Oryzias latipes: one gene and its partners. The protein of the gene in region 7 purifies or fractionates together with the protein of the main gene of each other region. This does not show direct contact. Links are inferred from orthologs where the notes say so. Each region holds a gene or a part of one and is shown on either strand. Other genes may lie near its edges. The genes, in order: usp1, SWI/SNF-related matrix-associated actin-dependent regulator of chromatin subfamily D member 2, xrn2, arid2, nop58, rnmt and kpna1.

Evidence for each region.
Region 1: the proteins of kpna1 (region 7) and usp1 purify together in Homo sapiens (co-immunoprecipitation; 6 studies listed by BioGRID and IntAct, with this or other methods). This does not show direct contact. The link is inferred for Oryzias latipes from reciprocal best matches to the Homo sapiens genes KPNA1 and USP1.
Region 2: the proteins of kpna1 (region 7) and SWI/SNF-related matrix-associated actin-dependent regulator of chromatin subfamily D member 2 purify together in Homo sapiens (affinity purification with mass spectrometry; 3 studies listed by BioGRID and IntAct, with this or other methods). This does not show direct contact. The link is inferred for Oryzias latipes from reciprocal best matches to the Homo sapiens genes KPNA1 and SMARCD2.
Region 3: the proteins of kpna1 (region 7) and xrn2 purify together in Homo sapiens (affinity purification with mass spectrometry; 4 studies listed by BioGRID and IntAct, with this or other methods). This does not show direct contact. The link is inferred for Oryzias latipes from reciprocal best matches to the Homo sapiens genes KPNA1 and XRN2.
Region 4: the proteins of kpna1 (region 7) and arid2 purify together in Homo sapiens (co-immunoprecipitation; 3 studies listed by BioGRID and IntAct, with this or other methods). This does not show direct contact. The link is inferred for Oryzias latipes from reciprocal best matches to the Homo sapiens genes KPNA1 and ARID2.
Region 5: the proteins of kpna1 (region 7) and nop58 purify together in Homo sapiens (affinity purification with mass spectrometry; 3 studies listed by BioGRID and IntAct, with this or other methods). This does not show direct contact. The link is inferred for Oryzias latipes from reciprocal best matches to the Homo sapiens genes KPNA1 and NOP58.
Region 6: the proteins of kpna1 (region 7) and rnmt purify together in Homo sapiens (co-immunoprecipitation; 4 studies listed by BioGRID and IntAct, counting the BioPlex papers as one, with this or other methods). This does not show direct contact. The link is inferred for Oryzias latipes from reciprocal best matches to the Homo sapiens genes KPNA1 and RNMT.

What each region holds. Positions count from the first base shown.
Region 1 is NC_019862.2:16,400,442-16,404,617, forward strand, and holds the start of usp1 (ubiquitin carboxyl-terminal hydrolase 1), read right to left. Parts: upstream 2,801-4,176; 5' UTR 2,669-2,800; intron 2,594-2,668; exon of another isoform or gene 2,237-2,593; intron 2,222-2,236; 5' UTR 2,166-2,221; coding exon 1,999-2,165; intron 1,122-1,998; coding exon 986-1,121; intron 1-985. UniProt on the Homo sapiens protein: Negative regulator of DNA damage repair which specifically deubiquitinates monoubiquitinated FANCD2. Also involved in PCNA-mediated translesion synthesis (TLS) by deubiquitinating monoubiquitinated PCNA.
Region 2 is NC_019877.2:6,914,882-6,918,381, forward strand, and holds part of SWI/SNF-related matrix-associated actin-dependent regulator of chromatin subfamily D member 2, read right to left. Parts: intron 3,089-3,500; coding exon 3,046-3,088; intron 2,947-3,045; coding exon 2,824-2,946; intron 1,727-2,823; coding exon 1,607-1,726; intron 1,025-1,606; coding exon 929-1,024; intron 833-928; coding exon 731-832; intron 1-730. UniProt on the Homo sapiens protein: Involved in transcriptional activation and repression of select genes by chromatin remodeling (alteration of DNA-nucleosome topology).
Region 3 is NC_019882.2:16,207,589-16,211,088, forward strand, and holds part of xrn2 (5'-3' exoribonuclease 2), read right to left. Parts: intron 3,279-3,500; coding exon 3,171-3,278; intron 2,917-3,170; coding exon 2,827-2,916; intron 2,691-2,826; coding exon 2,618-2,690; intron 2,048-2,617; coding exon 1,964-2,047; intron 1,318-1,963; coding exon 1,220-1,317; intron 1,088-1,219; coding exon 1,008-1,087; intron 881-1,007; coding exon 824-880; intron 595-823; coding exon 526-594; intron 232-525; coding exon 103-231; intron 1-102. UniProt on the Homo sapiens protein: Possesses 5'->3' exoribonuclease activity. May promote the termination of transcription by RNA polymerase II.
Region 4 is NC_019881.2:4,002,990-4,006,489, reverse strand, and holds part of arid2 (AT-rich interactive domain-containing protein 2), read right to left. Parts: intron 3,449-3,500; coding exon 3,290-3,448; intron 1-3,289. UniProt on the Homo sapiens protein: Involved in transcriptional activation and repression of select genes by chromatin remodeling (alteration of DNA-nucleosome topology). Required for the stability of the SWI/SNF chromatin remodeling complex SWI/SNF-B (PBAF).
Region 5 is NC_019860.2:15,370,027-15,374,051, reverse strand, and holds the end of nop58 (nucleolar protein 58), read left to right. Parts: intron 1-155; coding exon 156-301; intron 302-1,059; exon of another isoform or gene 1,060-1,143; intron 1,144-1,214; coding exon 1,215-1,341; intron 1,342-1,370; exon of another isoform or gene 1,371-1,452; intron 1,453-1,538; coding exon 1,539-1,702; intron 1,703-1,794; coding exon 1,795-1,929; intron 1,930-2,521; coding exon 2,522-2,583; intron 2,584-2,661; coding exon 2,662-2,816; intron 2,817-2,892; coding exon 2,893-3,020; intron 3,021-3,093; coding exon 3,094-3,147; 3' UTR 3,148-3,525; downstream 3,526-4,025. UniProt on the Homo sapiens protein: Required for the biogenesis of box C/D snoRNAs such as U3, U8 and U14 snoRNAs. Part of the small subunit (SSU) processome, first precursor of the small eukaryotic ribosomal subunit.
Region 6 is NC_019869.2:4,905,986-4,910,051, reverse strand, and holds the start of rnmt (mRNA cap guanine-N7 methyltransferase), read right to left. Parts: upstream 2,801-4,066; 5' UTR 2,710-2,800; exon of another isoform or gene 2,706-2,709; intron 2,233-2,705; 5' UTR 2,226-2,232; coding exon 2,076-2,225; intron 1,992-2,075; coding exon 1,862-1,991; intron 1,781-1,861; coding exon 1,655-1,780; intron 566-1,654; coding exon 450-565; intron 371-449; coding exon 189-370; intron 1-188. UniProt on the Homo sapiens protein: Catalytic subunit of the mRNA-capping methyltransferase RNMT:RAMAC complex that methylates the N7 position of the added guanosine to the 5'-cap structure of mRNAs. Binds RNA containing 5'-terminal GpppC.
Region 7 is NC_019878.2:17,889,062-17,893,142, reverse strand, and holds the start of kpna1 (importin subunit alpha-5), read left to right. Parts: upstream 1-1,281; 5' UTR 1,282-1,397; intron 1,398-2,015; 5' UTR 2,016-2,023; coding exon 2,024-2,149; intron 2,150-2,415; coding exon 2,416-2,529; intron 2,530-2,630; coding exon 2,631-2,730; intron 2,731-3,002; coding exon 3,003-3,097; intron 3,098-3,211; coding exon 3,212-3,343; intron 3,344-3,460; coding exon 3,461-3,549; intron 3,550-3,647; coding exon 3,648-3,747; intron 3,748-4,081. UniProt on the Homo sapiens protein: Functions in nuclear protein import as an adapter protein for nuclear receptor KPNB1. Binds specifically and directly to substrates containing either a simple or bipartite NLS motif.

The DNA of each region.
Region 1 (4,176 bases), on a different chromosome or scaffold from region 7:
GATGTACAACATCCACTTGCACTGTTTTCTCAAACTATAATTACATCAAAATATGGGATCTGCTTTAAACTATAATTCTATAACATAATACATCAATTCTTTAACACCAATACTAAGTAATCTGGGAAATATCAAAACAAACATACAAACTAAGCTAAACATTGTAAACATTATTTTTTAAGGGAGTGCGGGTCCAAACCATCAAATACTTATAATTAATGTCAACTATACTGAACTAAATCATGGTAATTAGGAAATACTAATAAATTAGAGAAATGTATTCAAAATAAAAACTGAAACTCAAAACTAAAATTGAAATTATTTCAAAATGTGGTTTTGAGATTATTTTACACAAAAAAGTATTTGACCTACACTACCGTAAAATCTTTTTTTTCCAGCCAAGACCACTTCAATTTGTTTTTTATCGTCTTCTCACAACTGAGGTCGTGACCACGCTCAATAATGACGATGCCTGCCATTATTTTAACACAAATTTGATCGCAAACTCTTCAGATGTGTTTGTGAAAATTTAGCGTGGGTCCGCCAGTTTTGGTCTCTAGGGAAGCGAGTCACGCTGACCACGTGGTGCAGACAGAGCCAATCAGACCCGTCGACGCATCCGAAAGCAACTAAAACGTCCCGTCATTGGTCAATTAGGCCGGGAAGACGAGAGATGGCCACGACCATAGAGGAAGCGATCTGCGGAGAAATATAGAAAATAAAGCTAAAATTAGCTGATTTCAGACCATTTTTTAATCCGGAAAGCGATTTGTCCGTAGAGATCAGGTCTTTATTTCCCGGAAAGTACGTTCGGTTTGCTCAAAAACCCGGATTTCCGGGAATTCCCGGAAGACTTTCATCACTGATTTTAGTAGCCATCACTCTCCATCTGAGCTTTGTCCTAATGTCGCAAACCACCTTCTGACACTAAAGTTCCCAGCAGCATAGCACGTGTTGTGACGGTCCAATGTGGATGCTAGCTTACCTGTAACACACTGTTCAAATAGCAAGTGTTGCCGAGGTTATTGAGCCCAACAAAGGGCAACAAGTTCTCCTTCTTCTCACGTGGCAATGGGTTGCTGGGTGAAGCCGGAAGTGGACCATACACCACTTGTTCACTGCTGAAGACAGAAAGATCATGTATCAAACTAGTGTAGTCTTTGAGACATGACCTGTACCTTCACGATAAAAAACACCTCTTCATGAGGAAGATGGGATTTTACACAACAAAAATACGATTGTTGAAAAGCTTTTCTCTGTGTCAGAATCAGCAGAAAAAAGGGAAAGGAAAGAAGAAGAACAAAAAATAGTATTACAAAAAAACAAAATAAAACATTTCAGAAAACGGAAGTTATTTTCAGGAATCAAAATGTTAATAAACATAACACAAAAAAGACACTGGAAATGTTGATATTATGGGACATCACTGATTGATTGGATGAGGATGTCTGTCCATTATTTTGACAGACCGTTATTTGGCATGAAGCGCCTCAAATCACAAACATTACCCACGCAAAGCTGCTGCTCTGTCAAAGGATATTTAAATTCAGGACATACCTAGAGTTTTTTTTCATGAAGATTCCATGCTTGTGCACTTAAACCATCAGTTTTACATAATTGTTTTTGTATTCTCACCACATTGACTTTGAATGAAATTCAGAAAAAAATAATCAGTCAAGAAAGACATCATGAACTCTGGAGACATAAGCAAATCTATTTAGTATTTTTGGCAGGGATCCTTGTAACTAATATGAAATTGTATGTATAAAAAACCTTCTTACATTTTTAAAAAGGCTTGTGTGTTTAAAACTGCATTATCATTATTATTTATTTCAGGCCTCTGAATTGGTAGAGTTTTTTTTTTCCATAAATACTGCACACAGCAAACTTGTCATACACAGACAAAATATAATTTTTAAGCAAAATGGTCTCCACGTGTAACCAGTGGCTAATGATCTGGAAGAATTATGATTGTTTAAAGTGACATCAAAGACTCACCTTCCCTCAGGTTCTTCTGATTCTGTCGTTTTGGGCTCTTCTGTCTGAGCTTCAGAGAAGTCCAGAGCCCGTTTGGTTTCTTTCTTCTGAAAAAACTTCAGGGAAAGTTTACTCCTCTTTACGGGGCTCCCCTGCGTGGCCACATTATCTCCCTGCAGGCCTGGCATCTTCACAGCCGGATTCCCAGTGATCGTTTTCTACTCAGCTGCAACAGCGACCCCCACTGGCCAAAAAATGGAAATTGTAAGGTTTCAATTTCGCGGGCGCCATCAGAGTTCAACAAGAACGAACGTAGCTACGCAAATCAGTTTATGGTGGAGTTATGTAACTACAAGCAGAATGGTTCGATTTTATCTTTACAGATAGTTTTAGTTCTGCAGCTCAAAGCAAGCCAACGGTTAAACTTTGTTAAACAAACAAACAAACGGTTAGCACCAACCTAATAATGAATCTGAATTCATTCATTCTTAATTCGAAACTGTTTTTTAAAATGGCATTTTAATGTTTAAAACAAACGAAACCAAACCACACTAAACTAACAGTTGTGATCGAACACTTAAACTCAACATGAGGTTGGCGCGGTAGAAGAACTGATGTGAGTAAACAGACCGAACGCCTTTTTCTTTTAGCCATTCCGTTTTTACGGCGTAAATACATTTTAAAATCTTACCTAAGCCAGCCATTCCAGCTTTATGTATAATATAGCACCCCAGTTGAACACATTTGTTCTCTTTTTCGCTTAACATGGGTGTTTGACTACTCTGACGGCGCAACACAAGTTGGCGCTTTTTCCTGCTTGAAGACTTGTAAGCCATTACGCCGCCAGTCGAATTCCTGCAACAATTTTAAACAAATAACAATCATCTTTATATGAAAGACTTGTTTTTTTTAATTGTATCATATATTTACATTCCAAAAAATGAATTTAAATATTTAACGTTCAAATCACCTAACAGACGAAGTTGTAAAACAACAGGCTAATTTTAGGACACCTAAGTAAGACATGTTCAGTATGGCCAATCGTTAACGCCATTTTTGTAGTCAATTATTTAGTGGCTTAACATTGGGTTCTTGTTGCAAACGCTTTTTGAAAGTTCACTTAAAATTGGAAAAAAAATTAAAAATTTATTAAAATTTAGTTTTTGAAATGTATGGATAGAAAGTTTTATTTGATATATAGCAAAGGCCAGAATAATTTCGTAGTGGGCTTTGACATAATGAGGAACAACAGTTCAAGCAAGGATCCAAAAACTTCGACGTTTTACCTCTTAACGGAACTGTTGTTTCGAAAATTAAACTGCTCTTTAAAAAAACTTAACTGTGCTTTTCCCGCGATTAATTTCGACCTGCATTCATTCCCATTTACAACCTAAAGGAGGCGACATTTATCCAAGAAAAGGCGAGATGAACTGTCCAGCATCATCATCACCATCTTCCACTGGACCATCTCCTCATCTGACAGTCAGCACACTATTCCTCCACTATTTTAATGGTAAGAAGCGATTCCATTTTTTTTTTTGTTTTGGGATTTGACGTACAAACCGACGTTAGTTTTATTTGTTCGCTGCCAATTCCGATCTGTTTTGCCGTTCCTTTCCGCTGGATATCAGTTGCACTACGTTTACGTTAACCTGGCTACGGAGTGTTGTGGCTGGCGTCCCCCCCCCTCCCCCCCTTTTTTTAATTACTAGGTTGGAGCTCTTGCATGCTGCACAAAAATGGTGAACGACAGGTGCGTCGCTGCATCCCTGCGTTTAGCCCTGATGCATGTGTCAGTGCGGCGGTATGTGCGCTGGACGACCCGCTGCTGCTGCAGCTGCTGCTGCTGCTGCGGCTGCAGAGTGGCTGCTTGGTCAGCTGCAAAGATGTATCGATGCACTGTGCATGTACATCCAGGAACCTCTTTGCTTCCTTTGCTTGGCATTCCAGTGATGTTGCGGCGAGGATGCTAACACAGTAATAGATGGGAATACTTTAAAGGTGCGACACTTCCTGTGGGACTGCAAGCAAAGATATTCATCGGTTTAAGCCTCAGAATGGGGGTTTCTTCTCGGTCTCTTGCACCAGATTGACAAGCAGTACATTTTTCACTTTAGTGGGGCATTCCACTTTTAGATCTGGTTCAGCCAAGCATTTGTTTTTGATTAAAAACCTACATTTGGATTAAGTTTGTAGGTA
Region 2 (3,500 bases), on a different chromosome or scaffold from region 7:
TCTGCAGAGCGGCAGGAGTTCTTTGCCTTTGAGTTGTGGCTCTGTTAGCGCGGAGCAGCCCTGCTTCCGCTAACAGTCGTCTGTTTACACGCTCTCCCGCTGACCGTCTGCACGCGGCCTCATGGGAATGGAGCAGAGCCTGGAGCTTGTGGCCCCGCCCAGCGTGTTTTCTACGTCACAAACACCATCTTTTTCAAACTGCATCTTGTGTCTACTCCTGAGTCAAAACCATTTGAATAAAGAAATACTCAGAGATGTCTTTTTTAATTTGAACTCTCTTTACATATGTGCTCCATCACGAGAAAAATGCCACAAGAATGTGTTAAAAAAAGAAAATTCGATTTTCATCTGAGTGGGTCTTTGGAGACTTTTTATCGGATCAGATGAAAATCATGTTTTGTTGGATTTTTCTCAGAATGGAGGACATTTTTTAAAGAATTTCTGATGAATCAGGAATAGATAACAACTAGCTGTAAAGCTGGATAACTACAATATTGCTCACAGTCTTTTTTTTTTTTTTGCTACACTAATGTTAGCTTGGTGTTGCGAGGAGCTGTAATCTAGCGGGAGAAAGTATAAACAAAGGAATGCTGGGATATCAACAGTCACTCGTCCTGAGCTGCAGAAACTACGTCTTAAAAATCGACAGGTATTTTGCAAAAACCGCTTGGAATGATGGAAATACAGATAGAGTGGGGCTTTAAAGTGAATTGCAAACATGAAGGGCCACCTGATGGTCAAGCATGAGCAGAAGAGTGCATTTAACGTTGACGTCGCCGGGCCTTTTGACCTGGAAACCATCCGTCTCCTGGGTGGTGGGCATTCTGTGCCACTGAAAGGGAAAAATATCCAATCTAATTAGGAATACAAATCAGAAAAGTCAACAAAAGAAAAGAAGAGTGTGGTGTTAACGTCCTTAAAACGTTACCTCCACTAAGTGATTGTCCGGCCCGTAGAGCTCCTTGTCCAGCTCGATCACCAGGCTTTTGAAGAAAGATGAGAACTTCCTCTTCTGCTTGCCGGGCTGCAAACACATGAAACACAGCACTGCGTGACTGCCGAGCGTTCCTGAGCTCCGCGGTGTCAGTCTGCAGCTGCATTGTTGGGCTCTGACCGCATCAGGGAAGAGGAACCAAACTGTTGAGTAGAAAAGGCTGTTGCAACCCGCCCGCCCCCCCCTTCCCCTCCGTCAAATCTGTTTGCTCAGCGTGGCCCCCTTTCATTTCTCCTCTGCCATCCGTTCTCTTTTGGCTGTCAGTCCACGCCGTGCTCCTACACATGCCTGGACCAGCGAGCAAGAGGGGGGGAACATTAGGAGCAAAAACAAAAAAACTGGGGGGCCACGGCTGACAGAGCGAGCTCAATTTTAGGAGGGAGGGGGTGTTTCGGTTGGAGGAATGCAAAAGGGCGATGGTTTCAAGCCGGCAGAAAGCATGAACTCCGGCGTATGGAGGCAGTTGTGGGGTGGGATGAGGAAAGCTGTAAACGCACATCTGGCCGCGAGGTCTGCGCCAAGGATGCGGGCCAACTGACGCTTTCAGAAACGCGAGCAGAGACCGGACCGCTCAAATAATGGCCAAAGAGCAAAAGAACACGAGTCTCTCACTTCCTCCAGGAGTTTGCCTTCCACTCTCAGCTCCCAGGAGGACACCTTCTCCGACTCCTCGCCCTCGGGCTTGCTTGGAGTGAAAGTGTTGGAAATGTAGATCCTCAGCTTGCGCTTTTGCTGCATCATAAAAAAGAAGCAAAAAGCTGATTTAGATTCATTCAAGAGCTTCAGGGTTTTGTCTTTCTTCCACCTATCCATCCAAAACGTTTGGCGTTTATCAGATCCATCGGAAGATCTGGGCTTTTGGTGTCTTTGACGTTTGGAGCCTCTTGTTCAGACTCGCAGGGAGCTTCGAAACATTTTCTGCTTTGCGTTTCTGAAATCAGTCACAACAGTTTCTTGACTGTTTGTGGATTTGTCTGGTTTTAATTTTCAAAACCTAAAATACCATTTGATAATGTTGCAATCAGGCACTTGAGACACTGCAAAACATTTCACTTCTTTAGCCAACAAAAACTCTTCGGCCTCGATTCTCCACACATCTTTGCTGCATTTATCCGACTTTGTCAGATGAATAAGTGAAGCTGCTCAAATATCAAATGTTTTGCGTCAAACCTGGTTTCATCCGTCTAAAGGCGGATCTGAACAGGGACAGGTTTGCTTCAGCACCTGCTCACAATGCAAAAGACATAAAGACTGATCACGTCCAACTAGTATGCCTGTTAATACCAAATCGATCATCTGTGATCTCACTAAGAAACATCAAATCACTCAATCGGTGCAGTCTTCCTCCGTTTATCGCAGCAGTTATGCTCTAATAGCAACAGAAGAAATCTGCAAATTTTCAACAATTATTATAGATGTTTTAACCCCTAACTACCCTATTTAAACACTTTTCTTAGACGTTTATGAACATTTTCACAGCTTTCTCTGTTGTTTAAACTCTCAAAGTTCAAATCTTCATATAAAATAAGCCCAGTGTTATAGAATGGAAACAAAGATCATCTTTGCGAGCTGAACGCATTCTGCATAGCGTGGAGGAGACTGATTGACATTGGTCTGCAGCCAATCAGAGCACAGAACACAAACTGCAAAAAAAAAGAAGAAAAAAATTGCGCTAAATCAATCCTGAAAACAGCGAAACTCTGAAAGGTTAGCAGCGAGGGACCACTCTACTTAAAGTTAAAGAAGAAAACGACAAAAAAAATTGTTCTACTAAAAGTGTCAGAACCCTCCACATCTTGTTTTTTCCTAAAATGGTTGTAGAAACATACCATAATGGGCTTCTTGATGGCCTCCTGAATCTCCATGCGCTTGCGAGCGATGGTTTGATCCAGTTTCCTTTCAAAAGCCAGGAGGTCCATGTAAGCCTGGGACTCGGGGACGAGGTCTCGGATCTGAAAGAACCAAACGTAAAAAGTCGTGATTCAAAACATCCAAAAGCAGGAAATAAATTGAATTCTTTCTGGGGGGGGGGGCCGTTGGTGTTAACGTACCCTCTGTGGCAAAACCTTGTCGGCCATTTTGCGTCTTTTGGCTCTAAACCGCACAGAGAGAAGGATCAACGTTTAGATTAGAAAAGGACTCAGAAAGCCTCAAACTTTTCATGTTTTCATGAGGAAAAAAGACACGCTGACACATGATTCAAGATCAAGTCCAAAAAGATTCGATTAGAGCTCATTTGTGGACAGCTTCACAGTTGGATAACAAAGTCTTGGCCTACATGTCCTCTTCTGAGGGACTTGTAGTTCCTCACCGCAGCTGAACTCATAAAAACGCACAAGAGCTAGTCTGTCTTCAACTAAAGGACACAGTTGATCGTCATTATAAACTCAGAAGATGCTTCCAGAACTGCAGCTTATTTTCCTCCAATTCTGAGAATGTCGTTAGAAAATAAACACGGCAGCACAACAGATTCATTGTAACATTTAGAAATGTGGCGTCACCGAAC
Region 3 (3,500 bases), on a different chromosome or scaffold from region 7:
GAATCACTATTTGCAAAAGAAAAAAATATTTTTTTTACCTGCTTCAGTTTTTTTAAAGAGTCAAAATATCTACAGTTAGTGAGGGTTAATATTGAAATGTACCCAAGAGCTCTGAAGCCAGACTGGTCCAGGTGAGCCTGTTGTCTGTTGGGGTTGAATCCCAGCTGGGGTCTCCATGGTCCCCTGTTCCCCCTTTCCCAGTCTCCTGGCTTCAAGACTTTAGTGGGAATCCTTAAAAAATATTCACAGCAAAAAAAAAGTAAATAAATTCTGCAGTCCCACAGAATGTGGTCCACAAAATAAACCAATGTTTCCTTTAAGTGGTACTGCAGTGCTTCTAAATGTAAAGCTGCAGCAAAAACTGTGGTATAATGGACTAAATAATCGTTTATAATTTGTATGATTTACTATGTCACAAAAAAGATTAAGAAGTATGAGGCAATGTATATTAATTTAAAGTAAACATAGAATTTCAGTTTCAGCAAAGCACCTAAAATATTAATAATAATAATAAAAAATTCTCACTTGGCTCCAGGGAGTAGAACTGCTTTGAACACATATCCAACTGCAAATTCAGGGTCCTTGAACTTCACACTAGAAAAATATGTTTTAACTCAATAAAACCATTTTTCGAGAGTTCAAAGTCCATAAATAATAAAGTCAACAGTTTGCATATCTTCTAAATTGTGTTGTTGCCTTATAAAACTAAAAGCTTTAGTAAAAAAAAATGTGCAAAGAAGGACATTTGTTCTTTTAATTCTGTTGTTTATCAAAACCATTCAAACTTTGTGCATTCTTTATACATTTTATATTGAGAACATACCTGACTGCAGTACTTTGTGAAATGTCCCGCAATGTAGGGATAGGGGACTTCACTGGCCTGAAAGAAAAAGATACGATTAAATGACCGCCATGGTCATCTGGCTTCAGCAGCTCTTGCGAGACATTAAAGTAAATTTTTTAAGACATGAACAAACAAAAATCAGGAGGAAACAGATTTTCCTTACTTGTCTGGTAGAACAGGGTTGTTATCAAGATTTAATAACCCTTGGATTCCAAAGCACAGCTCTGGTGGAACCACTGTGCCCTGGCAGAAACAAACATAGCAGATTAAAAACTAAAAAAGACATAATTGCTACAGCTTTTAATAACTGATTGTACAAATTAGGACCATGCTATAAGTATCTTAAACTGGATTTATCCTCCTGGAGCCTCGTACCTTGTTACATTCATCCCGGTAGAGTTCATGGATGAAGTCATACAGCGGGTGACTCTTTCCAACAAACAACACATCGCTGCCCAGACTGTTTCTCCTCGCTGCAACAAAGAACGTGGAAACTTTTCAGGGGGAAAATACTGTAAGCAGAATTTAAAAACACACTGCAGCTCTAACAGAATTCGTTTAGATAATGAAGGCAAAAAAGTACAGAGAGAGAGAAAAAAGCACACAATACGTAAAAATATATGTAAATTCAATTGATTTAGGAAAATTCTAAATGATTTGATAAATTTTGAGGAAAAACAGCAAATATATACAAATATATGCAAATGTCTGCAAATATATATTAAAAAAGAAAAACTAGTCATAAATGATCAAGGAAAAAAAATCTTCTTGATGAAATAATCCAAGTGGACATTCTTCCGTCTTTAACGGAAAAAGGCAAAAAAAAAAGTTATAAGGGAACAAAGAAACATTTGCGGATTAAAAACAAACGTTATAGTGAATAACTCACCATAAAACATGGATGAAATAAAAGCATAGCAAACACCATACACAAAATCAATTTTTAATCTTATTTAAATTACTAACCTAATAAGACAATATGGAAGAATTAATGTAAGAAAAGTTAAGAATGGTGGGAAAAAAAGCGGTTACAAATACAGCACACAGATATGTTTCTAACACTTGATCTCCAAACTACTTGTAGTTTAAAACCCTTTGTACTGAAAGACTTTTGCTCACCTTCCTCAGGCGTGAGGTCAGGGTAGACTTCTGCCAGAGCAGCTCTCAAACGCCGTTCATCCACAAAAGGCAGCAAAGCAACACCTTTGAGAACAAATCATACTTTAACATTCAACCAAAACAAATAAGTTCTGAAGCTACTTGAGCCTTTTTTGGTTTAAATTAAAACAGAAAAAGCACTTTGCAGCATTTTCAACTTTAAGCCTGCCATCAAAAAATGCTCAGGATTCCCAATGTCGACTCAACATTCAAGTAAAACATGTGCAATATATGTGATGTTTGGTCCCAGCGCAACTGATGACATAATATGTCTAAATTCCAATCGACATGCACAAAAAAAGTAAAGACCTGGAGGGAGTGTTTGTCTATTACTATGTGGTGCACTCATGCTTCGCATATTAAGTCCCAATTAGTGTTTATTTAAAAAAAACGCTAAAATTAAATGTCTTCAAAAAAAATAATATTCTTAATTCTGCTAGAAGTTTTAGCAGACCCAAACTATGTATTCATATATAACAATTTCAATCATTGACATGAATCAGTGGTATCACGTCTTCCTAGCAATACAAATTCACAGAAACATGTTAATAAATGTTTATTTTGTGCAGGATAATAGCTACAAAGGCTAGCTTCCCATTTCTAGGTAAGGCTTACCTTGCCAAGCGTATTTTTTACCATTGAGGTCAATGGCAAAATCGTCAGGGTAAAAATCAATGATGGAAGACTCCTGTGAAGGACAACAGTAGAAGACCATTTGAAAATGATGAAGGTAAAAAAAAAAGATGGAAAAGTCTTTTTTTGTGGTTTTAAATTAAAGACTTGTCAGAAGTTCCCTAAATTGTCTTCAGTTTTCCTAAACTCACCGGGCTGACCATGAGGTTTCTCCACGTTGGTGGCAGGAAGTTCCCACTGGCAGCAGGAAACACACTCATTAGCTGCTCCAGAGGTTTGAACTGAGCACAACAACAAATTTATGTGAGAATTTTAGTGTTCAGACATGTTTGAGTTAGTCATCCACATAACATAACGATCAGTCTAATAATTATCTAAAACGTGAACCTGTAAAATAATAAAATTGTTGATTATGATCTAATTTCATCATTTTCTCAACAAAATGCACTGAATGCAATGAACTCACAAAAAGAACTCAGGAGAAGCCCGTTAGGATCAGCCACATAAAAATCTGAATGATTGAGTGCTTTCTTACCGGCATGGTGTCCTTCTCAAATTCCGTGAACATTTCTTTGATGTCTTTGAAGTCAGAGGCAAACGGAGCGTAGTGGAATGGGAAGTACCACTTCCAGGATGCACAGCCCTGCAAATCCACAGGCAGCAAAGCTTTACTGACAGCAGTTGCATCCGAAACATACAAGTTCAACAAAACTGTGTGAAGCAGAAACTTAAAAGATGATTTTGTTTCATTATAAAGGATATTCCTCAAACCTAACTTTTTGTTCATATTAGAGTCAAACTTCTAAAAAAAAGCCTAATAGTGAAGCATTTATTTAAAGTTGCAACAATGCATAACATTTATTTT
Region 4 (3,500 bases), on a different chromosome or scaffold from region 7:
TCTGATGATGAAGAACAACATATCAAGAAAATTAAATGAACAACTGCTTTTCTGAGCATCTCTTTATTGAAATTATTGTAAATCAGGAGCAGACCAAAAGAAATTGTTTGAAAAAGATTCTCTTGGTGACAGAGCTACAAACTCCCTGCTCCGCTCCATTCTGATAGCCCCGCTTTAATGGATAATAATTAAAAAGAGCACTGGGAAGGCTTTTACAATAAATCAAAGGACTTAAACTGTAATAATCCACATGTAAACGCAAATCCTATTAAAGGATTTCAACAGAACGTTTCCGTTTTGATGCAGTTTTGCAGCATCTGAGACTCAAACCCGCGGCTCCAGCTTCACAAAGACCACAGCGCAGAGCAAAAAAACTGTATGTTGGCAGACAAGTGTGTGAAAGAAGGCGTGTCTTCCCCTCTCAGGAACACAGCTCATGTTTACAACACAACCCAGCATGAGATCCAACAGCAGGAGAAGAAAACGCTGCACTAAAGTCCAGAAACCCAAAGACGTCCAGGAGGAGGTTCCCGTGCCGTGATGAAAGATCGCTATGCAGGACATTTGGAAGCGTGGTTCCCTGGATTTGTGCGAACGCTGAGCGCAGGAGAGGAGGAAGAGGAGCTGCGGGGGCACAGAACGGATCGATGGAGGAACGCCAGGCAGAAATCTGAATGAAGACGTTTCAACCACTGCTGTGTCAACCAGAGCAGCAATCTCTACAGCATGTGTTCCCTCTGCTCTCCAAAGTGGCACATTTGTGAATTCCCAGGACTAAAGTTTTTCCACTGCAGGAGATATTAGTGCCCAGAGACGTTCACTCACTCCTGAACATGCTGAGAAAAACATCAACTTATAAACCATACATCACATCTCAAAAAGCTTTACTTTCAGATGGACTTTAGGTTCATGTTTTTTATCTTTGGTAATTTAATCTGAAAGCAGTTAACGTCTTAAATAACTTGAATGAAAGCGCTTAGCTACTTTTATTTTTGTTTACACCACATTTGGACTAAATGGTGTCATTTATTATTAACAGGGACATAAGAATGTATTCACAGAATTATATATCTGATTTATAGCTTTATAGCTCTGGCTTTGTTTTAAAAAAAGTTATTTCCAATCGGTCTTCGAAGTACTTGAATTAGGGCTGCAGCTATCGATTCTTTTTGTAATCAATTAATCTAGCACAGGGGTCACCAACCCTGTGCCCGCGTGCGCCCATGCGCCCCCGAGCACCCCTTGTGGCGCCCGCAGGAAATGCACCAAAAAAATTTTTTTTTAATTGAAGCAAATATTCAACAATCAATCATGGGATGTCTGTCAATGACACCAATATCAACTCTGAGATAAAGGTAAACAAAAAAACAAATACGAAAACAAAAATAACCTTAACCTTTGTTTTGTAAAGGGTCCTTGGGTTCCTTGAAAGGCGCTTTAAATAAAATGGATTATTATTGATATTATTAATATGACTTAAAAAAATAAAAATAAGGGTCTATTACAAAAGTTTAAATAGATCAAATAAACTACACAATGTCTGGGCATTCTTATGATTCATGTAATGCAAAGATTTAGAGAATAGGTTGAGGTTGGGGGGGGGGGGGGGGGCTAGGAGGTATTTAGTAAACAGGTCCTGTGGCGCCCTTCATACCACTTAGTGCCCATGAAATAGCCCTCAGTCTCGAAAAGGTTGGTGACCCCTGATCTAGCACTTAATCGATCGATTAATCGAGTAATCGGATAAAACGATTTGTGTGTGTTTTTGAACAACCAAAACAAATCTTGCATAACAAAAATGATGTGGTTGTAAAATGAACAAGCATTTGATTTTAAAGATCCGCTATGATGCAAATGTTACTTTTGGTGTTTTTAAGTTGGTCTTGAGAAGTGGCGGAGCTAGAACATTTTGTATGGGGGGGGGACAGAAGACTTTGAAAGGGTGGCACAACACCAAAATGGAAGGCCATTAGAAATAAAAGAATCAGAAAAACATATTTGATCATTATCATTGTTTATGTTTCGTGTAAAAATAATGCTTTTGTTATTTTTGCAATACTTAAAGAAGCCTCGCGGTCCACCGAAAGGCGAGCTACCGCCTGTCCCAGCCCCTGCCTCTCAGCGCCCCCTCCGCGGCCCGCGCTGGTCGCCGCGGAGCGGCTGACGCCGCTTCTCGCTCGCTGCTGGCGGCACGCGCGGGTATGCCAGCTCTATTTCTGCCGTTTATTTATAGATCTATTCTCCTGGGGAGCCGGTTTAACTCGTGCTGGTTTGCGGCGCCTTCCATCCGTGAAACCACGGTTCGACTCCGGGCTGCTCCCTGTTCCCTTCTCTACCTCTGCCGGTTCCAAGCCCGGTTTGAGAAGGTTGCGTCAGGAAGGGCATCCGGCGTAAAACATTGCCAAATCTATCATGCGACTCGTTCGCTGTGGCGACCCCAGATGGGAGAAGCCGAAAGTGGAAGAAGATTTATAGATCTATTCTCCGCCATCGCGCCAACTAAATTCAAAAGGTCCGTGAGAATAAACGGTCAAATGAAATCCCTGCGCCGCGCGAATAGTGCGCGTCATGGGAATTTAACGAGGCTTCGAGGCAGAGTTTTTGCCTCGAGGAATTTTTGTAATCGAGTAACTCGAATAACTCGAGGAATCGTTTCAGCCCTAACTTGAATTATTCCATTTTCCTCCCGTTTACAGCAATTTTGAATGAGAGGGCAAAGATCCTGTGGGACTTCCAGATCCAGACTGGTAGGATGGTAATGGCGAACCAACAGACATTGTAGCGGTGGACAAAAAACAGAGGAAAGCCGTTGTGGTGGATGTGGCAGTGCCAAGTGATGGGAACATCAGGAAGAAGGAACATGAGAAACTGGAGAAATACCAGGGACTCAGAGAAGAACTGGAGAAAGCATGGAAAGTGAAGGTGACAGTGGTGCCTGTGGTAATTGGAGCACTCAGGGCAGTAACCCCCAAGCTGGAGGAGTGGCTACAACAGATACCTGGAAACCATCCGCGGAAGAATTCATTAGATTTTAACCTCTGAATTGTGGACGGGTCCACTGGCACGGAAGTAAGCCTCGGCTTATTTCCCATCATCTCTTTGTTTACACTCTCTCCCACTGGCTTACAGCTCTCACAACAACAACAAAACTGTTTTTGAGCAAACACTGCATCTTTACAAACATAAAACCCAAACAGTCCAGATGTACAGAGGCGTTTGCCCCTGAATCCGCCCCCAGGGAGCCCCAAGGGGGGAAAATGGCGTGTTTCTGAAACGCCAAAGTGCTCACCTGCTGCTGCCGGCGCCGATGCGGGGACCTGCTCCACCAGCTGTGGCCGCACCTCCGACACCTGCTCAGCATTCGCCTGATGCTCGATTAAACGCACCGCCGTCAACGCGTCGGGTCCGAACGTGTGCAGGTCCACGGACACTAGCCGCACCAGGAGGTCTGGGCGAATGAAACGAGACGTTGACAAACGGACCAGTCTGCTTCTGCTGCT
Region 5 (4,025 bases), on a different chromosome or scaffold from region 7:
GCAACTGTTGCAGATGTTTTCAGTGATTCTCTTTATCACAGAATCCAGTGTTGAGACAGACAATTTAAACGTTTCTCTTTTTAAAAACAAAAAGAAAAGAAAAAACAATCCCTTCATGGTTATTGAAAGCTGACGCTGGTCCCTCCTCTCTGCAGGCGACCGCACAAACGTGGCGACCACCGATCTATCGGAGATCCTTCCAGAAGAGGTGGAGGCAGAGGTCAAGCTGGCCGCTGAAATCTCCATGGGAACAGAAGTGTCGGAGCAGGACATCGCCAACATTCGACATCTCTGCGATCAGGTCTGTTCTCCTTGATGGAACGCATGCTGGTGTCTGTGCTGGGCGCTACGTTGCCGTATTTTTGTTGTAGTTTATTAATTTTGAAATGTTAACAAAATTGCAATCAGCTCTATGTTTTAAAACGTCGGCCAAGGATTTAAGGATAAAGGAAAGAAAAAATATTTGTAGATGGTGGTGCGTCCTCAGATCAAATTTGGTGTGGAAAAGAGCAAAAATATTAGCATTACATGGTAAATTCTAAATAATCAACTTCAACTGCAAATTGTTAAATGAAAATTAAAAACTGAGTCCAGATTGGAACTTATAGTCTCCTAAATTGTTAGGTCTAAATAATCGTTGTAGCTTAATGTTCTCTGCATTCATGTCTCAAAAAGCAAAGAAGTTTTTTTTTTTTTTGTGGAATTGAAGCTTTATTTTGATTAAGCATGACACAGATTATTATTTAAAAATTAACTTAACAAAAAAGCTGAAGTACAAAGTCGAGTCGAACATTTTCCAGTAGCCTGAAGGAGTTTATGCATTCAAGAAGATCTTCGCATGAAAGTTTCTCACAATTCACTAAAATGATTTTTCTGGATAAGCATTGAATGCATCCAAAACTAAACATTTTTGGGTTTTATTGGGCATGTTTTGTCTGCAAATAAATGGAACTACTCTATTGAAAATCTCAAGTAAATTGAATCGGAAACGATCTGTCTGATCCCAAAGAAGAGTCTTTTTGCTGATAGGTCTGACTTCAAAGGTTTGTGGAGTAGCAGTGGCAGTGCTGATGATGTCGACAGTTGTCTTCATCCTGAATATCCCCGTGTGGGTTTTCAGTCACTACCTCATCTGAACTGTCACGTGATGCTCGCCGCGGCGCCAAAGCGTTTGTCTCCTGCGCGACCTTCAAACGGATCTGCTTCCTCCCCAGGTGATCGAGATCTCGGATTACCGCGCACAGCTCTACGATTACCTGAAGAACCGGATGACGGCCATCGCTCCCAACTTGACGGTGATGGTGGGCGAGCTGGTTGGCGCCCGGCTCATCTCGCATGCCGGTAGGTTTTGTGCAGCAGAGAGGGAACAAGGCGGGCAATGATGATGCGGACAAAACGTCGTTTTCCTGAATCTGATGACGGTTTTAAGTCACTACCTCTTCTGAGCTCATATTCTTTAGGCTATTTTCTCCTCAACACCAAGTTCAGATCATATTTGCCACTCTTAATATTTTATTTTTTAACTCTTTCGTGTTCAGGTTCACTTCTGAATCTGGCCAAGCATCCGGCCTCCACGGTGCAGATCCTGGGCGCAGAGAAAGCTCTTTTCAGAGCTCTGAAGACCCGCAAAGATACGCCCAAATATGGTCTCATTTACCACGCCTCCCTAGTGGGACAGACCACTGCCAAGAACAAGGGCAAAGTATGTTCCGGAGAACCGAGGGAGGGATAAATGATGACTGATCACCATCAAGAATAAAAAAAAATTGAACAATCCTTTCACCTCCTCTGCAGATCTCCAGAATGCTCGCTGCAAAAGCGTCGCTGGCTATTCGCTACGACGCTCTGGGAGAAGACACGAACGCCGAAATGGGAATCGAGAACCGAGCCAAGCTGGAGGCCAGACTCCGGCAGCTGGAGGACAGGGGGGTACGTAAAAGATTTCAGGATTTCCTGCCATTTCATTTCTATATTTTAAAAGTTCGAATTTTTTATTATTATTTTATTTTAAGTGGCTGTCCCTTTTTTTTTTTTTTCAAAATGGACGCTTTTCTGCCGGTTTGTCGCCATAGCAATCATTTAATGTTTCGGTCCCCTGGGGCCGCCGAACAGATTGGTGTAATTTTCATCAGAGTCGGCTTAAGTCAATGTTTGGATATTCTTGGAAGCAGATGTTTTTTGTTAGCCACGCCCACATTCCTAATATGTTCATATTGCATGACCTATCGTTTTGCTCACCTTGATCCAGGATTGATCCGTGTATTACATTTTTACAATGTGCCAGTAAAAATTTAAATTAAATGAGCTGCTTTTGCTCGCTCGTCGTGCCAACGCCATTCAAACTCTACAAACTTTATTTATAACTTTATATGCCGTAGAAGGTACCAAAGATGATTAGAATCTAAATTGTGAATTATTGGAATCATGACTTGAATATATATATTTTTTTAAAACGTCTTCTATTTTAACACCATTTTGATGCCATAATCTCAGTTACTTATAACCAAATCTTCCATTTCAGATCCGTAAAATCAGCGGTTCTGGCAAAGCCATGGCGAGGGCTGACAAATACCAACACAAGAGGTTAGGAGCAGAGCACTCCTCTCTGCAGGGATCCTTTACTTCTGCACGTTTGTGCGACATGTGTTGATTTGTTTTCAGCGAGGTGAAAATTTACGATCCATCTGGAGACTCCACCATCCCCTCCACCTCAAAGAAGAGGAAATTCGAGGAGGTGGAGCAGCAGGAGGCTGCAGAGGAGCCCACCACATCGGGGATGAAGTCCAAGAAGCCAAAGAAAGAGCCCCAAGTTCAAGGTGAGCAAGTGATGAAGGGACGCCGCGGGGGGGTTGAGATGTTCACGACGCTCAAGTTTGACCATGTGTGTTCCAGAAGAAACGCCTGAAACTTCAGCCGAACCGGAGACGCCCAAGAAAAAGAAGAAGAAAAAGGACAAGAAAGCAGTGGAGGAACCAGCTGAAGAGCTAAAGGAGGAGGAAGAGGAGGTGGCAGTAATGGAGGTGAGCCTTAGGCCAAACGTTTGTGGGGGCAAAATCTGGAATCCTGTTCTAACTGCTCACATTTACTCTTCAGTCAACAGAGAAAAAGAAGAAGAAGAAGAAAAAGAAGGAGGAAGATGACGAATAAGGAGATGGAGCCAGTGTATATATTTATTTTAGATATGTCTCTAATTTTGTTTTGTTTTTTACCCATAGAAGGTATCATCTGCATTGTTCCATTATACTACAGAATGTTTAATTTTAGACACAACAAAAAGAAAGTTCCTGTTTGTCCGTTCTTTCTTTGACACCATTTTATATTTTTGTCTCTTTGAAAAGGGATTTTAAATCTGTGTCTTAGAGGAAACATTTCCAATGTTGAAAAAAAAAAGGATGGACGAACAAACGTCTTGCTGTAAAGTTAACCTTTCTTTCCAATTATTGATTGAAGTTTATTTTTGGAGCCAGACGAAGCTAAATCTGGACTCAAGATGGACGATTGAATAAAAATTATTACAAACTTGTAGATGTTGTGATTTGCATTCAGTTACAGAAGTCACGTTTAATGCCCACATTCTGTGCTATAGAGCCAATACCATACAATTCTTAAGCCTTTTAGAGTAAAATAAAAAAAAAATCTGTATATGATATTACTTCCCACACAAAAGAACACTTTTTTTTTATAAATATTAGTTATATTCCTGAGCTTGTTTCCAATCAAGAAATTAGAGACAACTTGATCTCTGAAGCCCCGCCTCTCACTCAATGTGGTGACGTCATCCGAGAGTCGAGCTCAGCAACCTGTGTTTCGCCCACAACCAAACTTTTGCAAAGCTTTTTGGCCAAACCCTGCTAGCTCTGTGGAGAAAGTGGACGGCAGAGCCACAGTGCATGCGGGTAATCATCCAGGGTGTTATTACAAAACCCACAAGTGTCTGATTCTCTTTGGCCCATCATGAACATCCTTGGTCTTGTGTAAGTGAGTCCTATGAAGAGTTTTAAACAGATTAAGCTGCAGGTTAGGAC
Region 6 (4,066 bases), on a different chromosome or scaffold from region 7:
TTTGCCTGACAAAGATTACAGCCCATTATTGGGATGAGACAAACAAACCAAGAGGTGCCAACATGACAAACCGTTCATTCAATTATTCATAACTCTACACTTGAAGGGACGAGACTGGAAAGTGTGTCCTGTAAGTGGGAAACCAGCAGGGAGCAGCGTTGTGCTAAAGAGACGGATGTTTTCCTTACACCAGTTCATAGGCATCTGGCGTCGTTCCAATGAAGAAGCCTCCGGGCTTCAGACGCTCACAGGCGTTCCTCAGCATCATGTCGGCCTTCTGCTCGCTCTCGAAGGAGTAGTGATACACAAACTGACAGCTGCAGATGTCGAACATCAGCTCGGCGTCGTCCAGCTTCTCTGGCAAAGACTCCTGGGACAAAGGGATCAGGAGAAAGGGATTGTGGGTAGAACAGCAGAGACATGCATGCTCTTTGGTTTGCAGGTCGTACCTTTGAGCAGTCGGCAGTGATGAACTGAGCGCTGAAGATTTTCTCGTTGGAGTAACTTTTCCTTTTCATCTCATCGTATCGGCTCTGGCACTGCTCCACAGACACGGCTGCTATGTCTGGAGAACCAGAAAAGCATAAAACCGTCTTCAAAATGGATCAACGTAAAGTAAAAGCGTCAAAAGCGTGATTTAGTTTGAAATTAAGTATTTTAAAAGAGAACATGACAAAAGTGGTCTTTTTCTGTCTTGGTTGTTCCCACTTTAAAGACCCACTCCGGAGAAAATTGTGTATTTTTTTGTATTTAAGATGTTCCAGTGACATTTTTCTGATCATAAAGGACATATATAAAGAAGATTGAGCTCAAAATTACATTTCTGAGTGTTTTCTTTATTCAAACAGCTATAAATCAGGAGACAAACAATACAGTTTGAAAAAGAGCTTATTTGTGACTTAGAAAACACACAATGGTCGGACAAAAAGCTACCAGCTTCACAGTTCTCAGCGACAGGGAGAGGGAGAGGGGGCGGGGTTGCTCTGTGGCAACGGTCCTGCCCACAACTGAATCTCTAATGAACTCCTGACGCTCTGCAGGAACTATGTCCTTGAAAACGACACAGGTTTTTGGATTTTTAGGTTAAAAGCGAAATAATGCAAAGGCCACCGGGAACGCTTTGAAAAGAGATCAAAAGATGATCGGAGTGGGACTTTAGAGGTCAGCAAAGGTCAGCAAAAACTGATCGACCATCATTCCAGTCCAATGTGTGGAAACACTTTAGCAAAGACATGTGACCATCCAGTGTGCTAGAATGTTCTAAGAATGTTCACTTTGGATTGTTTGAATGTGGAAAAACAATAATGGGCTGAACTTTAGGAAACTAAAATGGATTTGACATTCATTCTTGTTTACTTGTTTGTTTGGACACATATTTCATTTAGACTTAATTATCTTGCAAGAAATACGAGGAGTCTGGAAAACGTCACTGTTCAGTATCCAGGTAATTTTTACACTGGTTGAAGTTTTGGCTAAAGATGTCCTGGATTGATTTTAAGTGAGTGAATCTGATCGTTCAAAAGGAACCAGAATCAACGGTGAATTGGATCGTCGACCAAAAATAATGACGTGAATCAAATCGTTGATAAAAATGAATAGTTACACCTCTATTTGAATCTAAATCCCAAAAAGTTTGTCAGTCATAACTGATTACCTGCACAGACGAGGTGATCGATTCCTCCTCTTCTCCACTTCAATAAGTCTCCACCTTTTCCACAACCAAGATCCAGCACACACACCCGGCTGTTCCCCGCCTTCCGCACCTTCTCTAAAATCTCACCTGTCGTCAAAAATAATAACAATTCCTGTTTGCAAACATTGTCTTAGCCAAAAACCTTCAGCACTCTGTCATCATCGTTACCAATCAGGACACTCTTCAGCCAGTTGTTGAAGTTTCTCATGAAGAAGATTCTGCTGCGACTTCGAGCTGCCAGACCAACTTCCTGCAGCTTATTGTAGTGGCTCGCCACCTTAACACCGTGATCAGAAACCTGAAGAACACCGTCCTGTTATATTCAAATGCCAATCGCTCCATCATATGCAGATCTGCTGAATGAAACTGAGGAGAATTGTACCTGTTTTTTGGTGGGTGACTCATCATCACCTTCATCTTCTCTGACTCTCTTCTTCACCACTTCCTTCTGAACTACCTCCCCACTAAGATTCCCTTCATTGCCTTCTTGTTGTTCATTCTCCTGCTTTGTCGTCTCTGTTTGTTCAGACATCCTTATCCTATAAGTACAGAAGAAGATCCTTTGTCTCTGCAATTTTTTTTCAACGATATTACTGTCCCATAAATGGGTCCAAACTGCAGTTAGATAGGGCGTTTTCAAAAAAGAGAAGCTCTTATTAGTAGTAGTTTATTTTTTCAAAGTGCAGATTTGGCAAAAACCTAATAAGTGACGTAGCTTTTTAGATTATCGAGCGTAGCTATAATGCTAGCAGCAACTGAATTTTAAAGTTTTCTAATGAGTAACCTAAAACGAGGAATGAGGGGAAAACAAAACATTGTGTGATCGTTACGTACTACTAGGAAGTGAGCGGCTAACGTTAGCTTATGGGCTGTTTTCTTTTAAATACAGTTAGCGGCAACATTTGTTAAAATTCTTTTTTTTTACATCAACCTAAGTCCAAAAGCTAAAATGTCTCAAATTGAACGTATTATTTGGCGTTTAGCTATATTTGAGCTTAAGATAAGTACGTACTTACAGCACTCTGCAGACAGGACGCTTTACGAAAGACAACTTCCGGTTGTGATTACGTCATAATCCTGCGTCCTATCCGGCTACTTTGTTTTCTTCTTCTTTTTTTAATTTTTTAACCTTATTTGCAAACGTATGTCTATGTAACAAGTACACATAACTGAGGTTAAAAAATAAAAATAAAAGAAGTAAGATGGCAAAATGCTGACATGAATAAATGAAATAATCCTCACTAATACTCACACTTTCACATGTTTGTAAAAAGAGGTCCTAGACACAATTTCATTTTTTGAATATGTCCAATAGTAGACTTGACCCCTTGTTATGCATACAATTTAAACCCTTAATATAATTTTATTGCGATTTTTTTTTAATAAAATGAACTTAGGCCGTACTTTTTTTCCATTTTGAGGTATGAATAAAACATTTTGAGCTTTTTTTTCCTTCTTCTTCCTCTTTTAATTTTTCTTTCTTTATTCTACTGTTTTAAAAAATAATTTTTCTTTATAATCAACTTATTCAGTAAAATTGTGAATGCCAAATGGACTAAAAACAATATCAATATACTTTATATGGAGCCACAGCACAACAAAACAAACAAAAAATTATAACGGCAGAGTTTGTTCTAAAAAACGGACATGTCCATTTTTCCTTTGTTTCGTAATAGCTTATCTGTATTCTACTTACAAATCAAGTCAGGGTGAAACATCAGTCAGAGATTATGTTACAAAAATGAAAAGGTGGCGCTAGAGAAAATGGAATGAAAACACAAACAAATTAAGGAAACAGCAACTCTGGCACAGCTGGGACAAACACAACTCAAAACAACAAGAATCTTGAAATATTTTTGATAGATTGTGGCAGTGTTCTTATTTATGGTGGATTAATTATTTGGTTATCCAAGTGAATAATAGCCTACCGTTAGTTTTTAAGTTATAATGTATGGCTTTAAAATGTGTGGGCATATCAACAGATTCAAGGATTTAAAAACCATGTTACTTTCCTCAAGTAATCCTAAAGTAAGTAATCAAAGTAATCAAAAAGATTATTCAGAAGCATAATTGCTATTTTACTGAGATTTTGTTTGATCATATTCTTTTTGTTTGTATATATATTTCCATTATTTATTTGTTTTTATTTTTCCATCCACCATAAAGCCTACACTTTCATCATTTGTACATCAGTAACTTGCTGCCCTAGTTTAAATTACATCTAATATGTAACTGAGTAATTTGACGGTGTTGTTTGTTTTACTGTGCTCATTTTTATTTTTTATTGGTGTGTAAAAAAAAAATTTAGTTTAAAGGAAATTTTAGACAAAATTTCATTCTTCAGGTTTGCCTTTTATTTGTCTGTTTGGTTTG
Region 7 (4,081 bases):
TCAAACATGAACCAGCTCTGAAACTGCTATAGACTCTAAAAACTTGTAACGATGATTTCGGTTTTTCCTTTGGTGTTTAACTGAAAACATTGTCTCAACGGTGGATAACTGGTCTCTTCAGTGGGATCATCATCATCATCAGTTACCAGAACTTGTTGGCGGGCAGCATCCTCGCAGCATCCTCTCTCTGCGCTTGCGGGCAATACTTGCGCGTGTGAGCGCGGTCTCCGGTGGCCCCGCAGATGGGACAGGTGTAGTTTCGGAGGATGGGGCAGGTGACCTTCCTGTCGTCCGACCTGAGCGCGTGCGAGCGGTAGACCTGCCGAGTCTCGCCGTTCTGCTTGCAGAAGCGGCAGTAATCTGCGGGGCTCCCGCCGCAACTGGTGTCCGAGAGGCTGCTGACGGAGCTCGTCTCTGCGGAGCTCTGCGTCTGGATGATGCGCCACGGCGCCGCGGGTTCCTGCTTCGGCTTCTCGGGGTCGACCTGCCGCCGGTTGCACAGCCTTTGCAGGAGTGCGCCCAGGTTCATGTAGTCGTGCCACATGTCAAAGCAGTCCTCGCTGAGGACGTGCGCGCTCTGGACATCCACAGTTGTTTGCACCGAGGCCATTTTTGGAACACAAATTTCGATCAGTTCCAAGTTAGTCTGGAGAGTTTTAAATTTAAATACTTTCAAAATAAAACCTGAAACAATGATTGCAGATGTTTGGGCACTCAAAGGCTTTGTTCTTCAGATTATTTTACAGGTGTATCAATTCGTACTTTTAGGAATAAAAAGGAGGTTAAATTAGGCTAAAAAAACTAATTTAAGAGCTATTTTTGGGATGCAGATTTGAATGTATGCGCCAATTAGGCCATTGTGTTGGTTCTGTCTATTGCTTAGCTTAATTTTTTTATGTCATGATCCTAATTTCTTTTTCCTTTGTTGAGAAGTATCACTTTTAACATCTGTTAATCTTTTGCAGCCCAAACATTTAAGGCCACTTCATCATTTGGATGGACACGGTGTCCACCTCGGGTCATTTAAAGACCACAGGCGCCGGATCGTCTAGTCAGGGCCACTTCAAAAACATTTAAAAACACACCTGCACGCGGGCAGGTGTTGCACACACGACCCCTCCTTGAAGTTTGAAAGCACGATTTCAGCCATTGATTGAACTGCGATACCCACATACCGACTGTGCTTCAAAAAGAAACTCCATCATTAGAGTTTGTGTCCATTTTTTTTGAAAACCGCACAACTATTCACTTGTTTACCAGGGCCAGCTCCTTGTGTGGGTGGAGCCAAAGGAGCGTCACTGAATACGTTTATTTGACGCATGCGTAGTGGCATACCGGCGACGGCAGCAGAAGCAGTGGCTTAGCGATTTAGGGGATTATAAAACCTAAACTGACAGGTATGTATAATGTATCTACACATTGTTGTTCTATACTTTTACCGCTTTTAGATTACGAATAAATGATTTTAGTATGTGTGTTTAAAAGTTTGGTGACAAATAAGCTGTTAAAAGGCATGTGTTACTCGGGGTTTTCAGCTAAGCTAACGTCAAGCTAGCTCGTTAGCAGCAGAGGCTAGCAAGAGCTGTGACATCAACAAGCTAATCATGTGGGAAATTAAGTAAATAAGCATTTTTTACTATAGACTGTTTGATGTCTTGATTTCTAATGAGAACCCATATCTCTCTATAAATAGAAAGAAAAGTCATTTGTTCCACAGTAATGATTTTGGTATTGGGCAAACATGCCGAAAGCTAGCAAACTATAAAGCTAACTGCTACAAGCCCTTCTGACAATCTTGAGTAATATGTTCGAGACGTCTGAAAACGACCTGCATTCTTGGTTTTGCTATACATTGCGGTGATTGTCATGAAAACCTGAAGAAATACACAGAAGAATGTAAAAGAAAATACAGACATTACAATACATCTACAACATGTGGGTTTTCCAGGATCTGTAACACTAAAGTTCTGCACCACCGGGACTACTAACGAGACTAAAATTCTTCATTTTCTCAGGCTACAAAATGAGTCAGGGGAAGGATAATGCACGACTGAAGAGCTACAAGAACAAGTCTCTCAACACAGATGAGATGAGAAGAAGGAGGGAAGAGGAAGGCCTGCAGCTCAGAAAACAGAAGAAGGACGAACAAGTAAGTAAAGTGTAAACTTTATATTCATCCATCAAACACAATAATTTAGTGTGTTTTCCTAGCTTTTTTCCCCCCTCATAAATTGCTTAGGTTTTTACAATATGGAATTGTGTTACTTCCATATAAGACAAGTAGAAGATATACAAACTGGTAACAGCAGTTATTTTTGTTATGCTGCTTCTTACCTAGTCAAAGTACATATAATAATAAAACCAAAAGATGCTGTACTATTTCTTTGTACAACTTTAAGGACTGTGTCTTTGCAGCTATTTAAAAGAAGAAATGTTGCCACTGTGGAGGATGATGGTGCCCTGGAGGATGATGGAATGGCAGATAGTGGTTATCTGGAATCCCAGGCTAACAACATGGACCCATTTGGGGTGAGAATTAGCTCAATAAAACCTTTTTTATGGTGTTGTTTGTTGCATCTTTCACAATAAATTTGACTGATCTGTTATTGTTTTTACTATGTTCTGCAAAGGGTGGGGTCATTTCTGAGGACATGATTCAGATGATTTTCTCCAGCACTCCAGAGCAGCAGCTAATAGGCACACAACGCTTTAGAAAACTCCTTTCTAAAGGTAAAGGTCTAGCTGAATGCCAGCCTGTTCTATATCGCATAGAGCGATGAACAAATGCATCAACACATTCTACTGTTTAACTAGAGCTAAACAGCCTTGTAAGTTATCTAGAACTAGAAACAATCTTGATCATGTTCAAATTCAATTTGCTGCATCATCTTCATTTCTTTCATTTTTTTTTAATATTACAAAAATAACGAAAGACTGTTCTGATTTGATTTATTTTTAATTTTTAATTAAATAAAAATTGTCTCAATTTTTGTCTCCAACAGAGCCCAATCCACCTATTGATGAGGTCATTGCCACTTCAGGGGTGGTGGAGCGTTTTGTTGAGTTCCTAAAAAGAAGAGAAAATTGCACATTGCAGGTAAAGTGGTTTAATGCCTGAACAAATGCAGCTAGTCTAGTAATCATGAGCTATAGTGTTTTAGATGGAGTTTTTTTTGTCTGTCCTGACATAAATTGGTCGTGTTTTTCTTAGTTTGAAGCTGCGTGGGTTTTGACCAACATTGCTTCAGGCACATCCCACCAGACTAGGGTCGTAATCCAGGCAGGAGCTGTTCCCATATTCATAGAGATGCTCGCCTCGGATTTTGAAGATGTGCAAGAACAGGTGAGGGACATTTTTGTTGTCAATATTTATCTCTTTTCATATTCTTATTTTCAAATTATTACATATTTCGTAAATTCGTTTTTTTATGTCTAACTTGAATTATTTCCTCTTCTGTAGGCAGTGTGGGCTTTGGGTAATATAGCAGGTGATAGCACAGAATGCAGAGACTTTGTCATAGACTGCAATATTCTACCATCCCTGATCCAGTAAGTAGCAGATTATTGTTAAACAGCTCTATGGTTCTCGTTTCACGTGAGATAAATATGAACAAGTCCATGTTTGAACATCGAACTCCTTTTTTCAGATTATTGGCTAAACAGAATCGTTTAACAATGATGAGGAATGCAGTTTGGGCACTGTCTAACCTGTGCAGAGGCAAAAATCCTCCTCCTGACTTCTCCAAGGTAATTTCTCAAGATGATACTTAACATGTCTCTCATTCCCAAAGAACAAGTTAAGTTAAAAACCATTGTTGGTAATTATTTACCGACCCTCCAGGACTTTCAGATGTTGGAATTGCACACTTGCAACTTTTTCTTGACATTGCAACTTTACCCAATCTCTGTAACTTGGAAAAAGTTTTACTTGTAAAACCCTTTCTGCCAATCAAGTTTAGAGGCTCAAACATGTACATCATCAGTCTAACCAATCAAAGGTGCCAACATGGCTGGTAAAATCTCTGTTCCCTCCACAAATCCCAGCTAAAGATTGTTTTTAGCGGCGCAGCCAGCTCCCAGC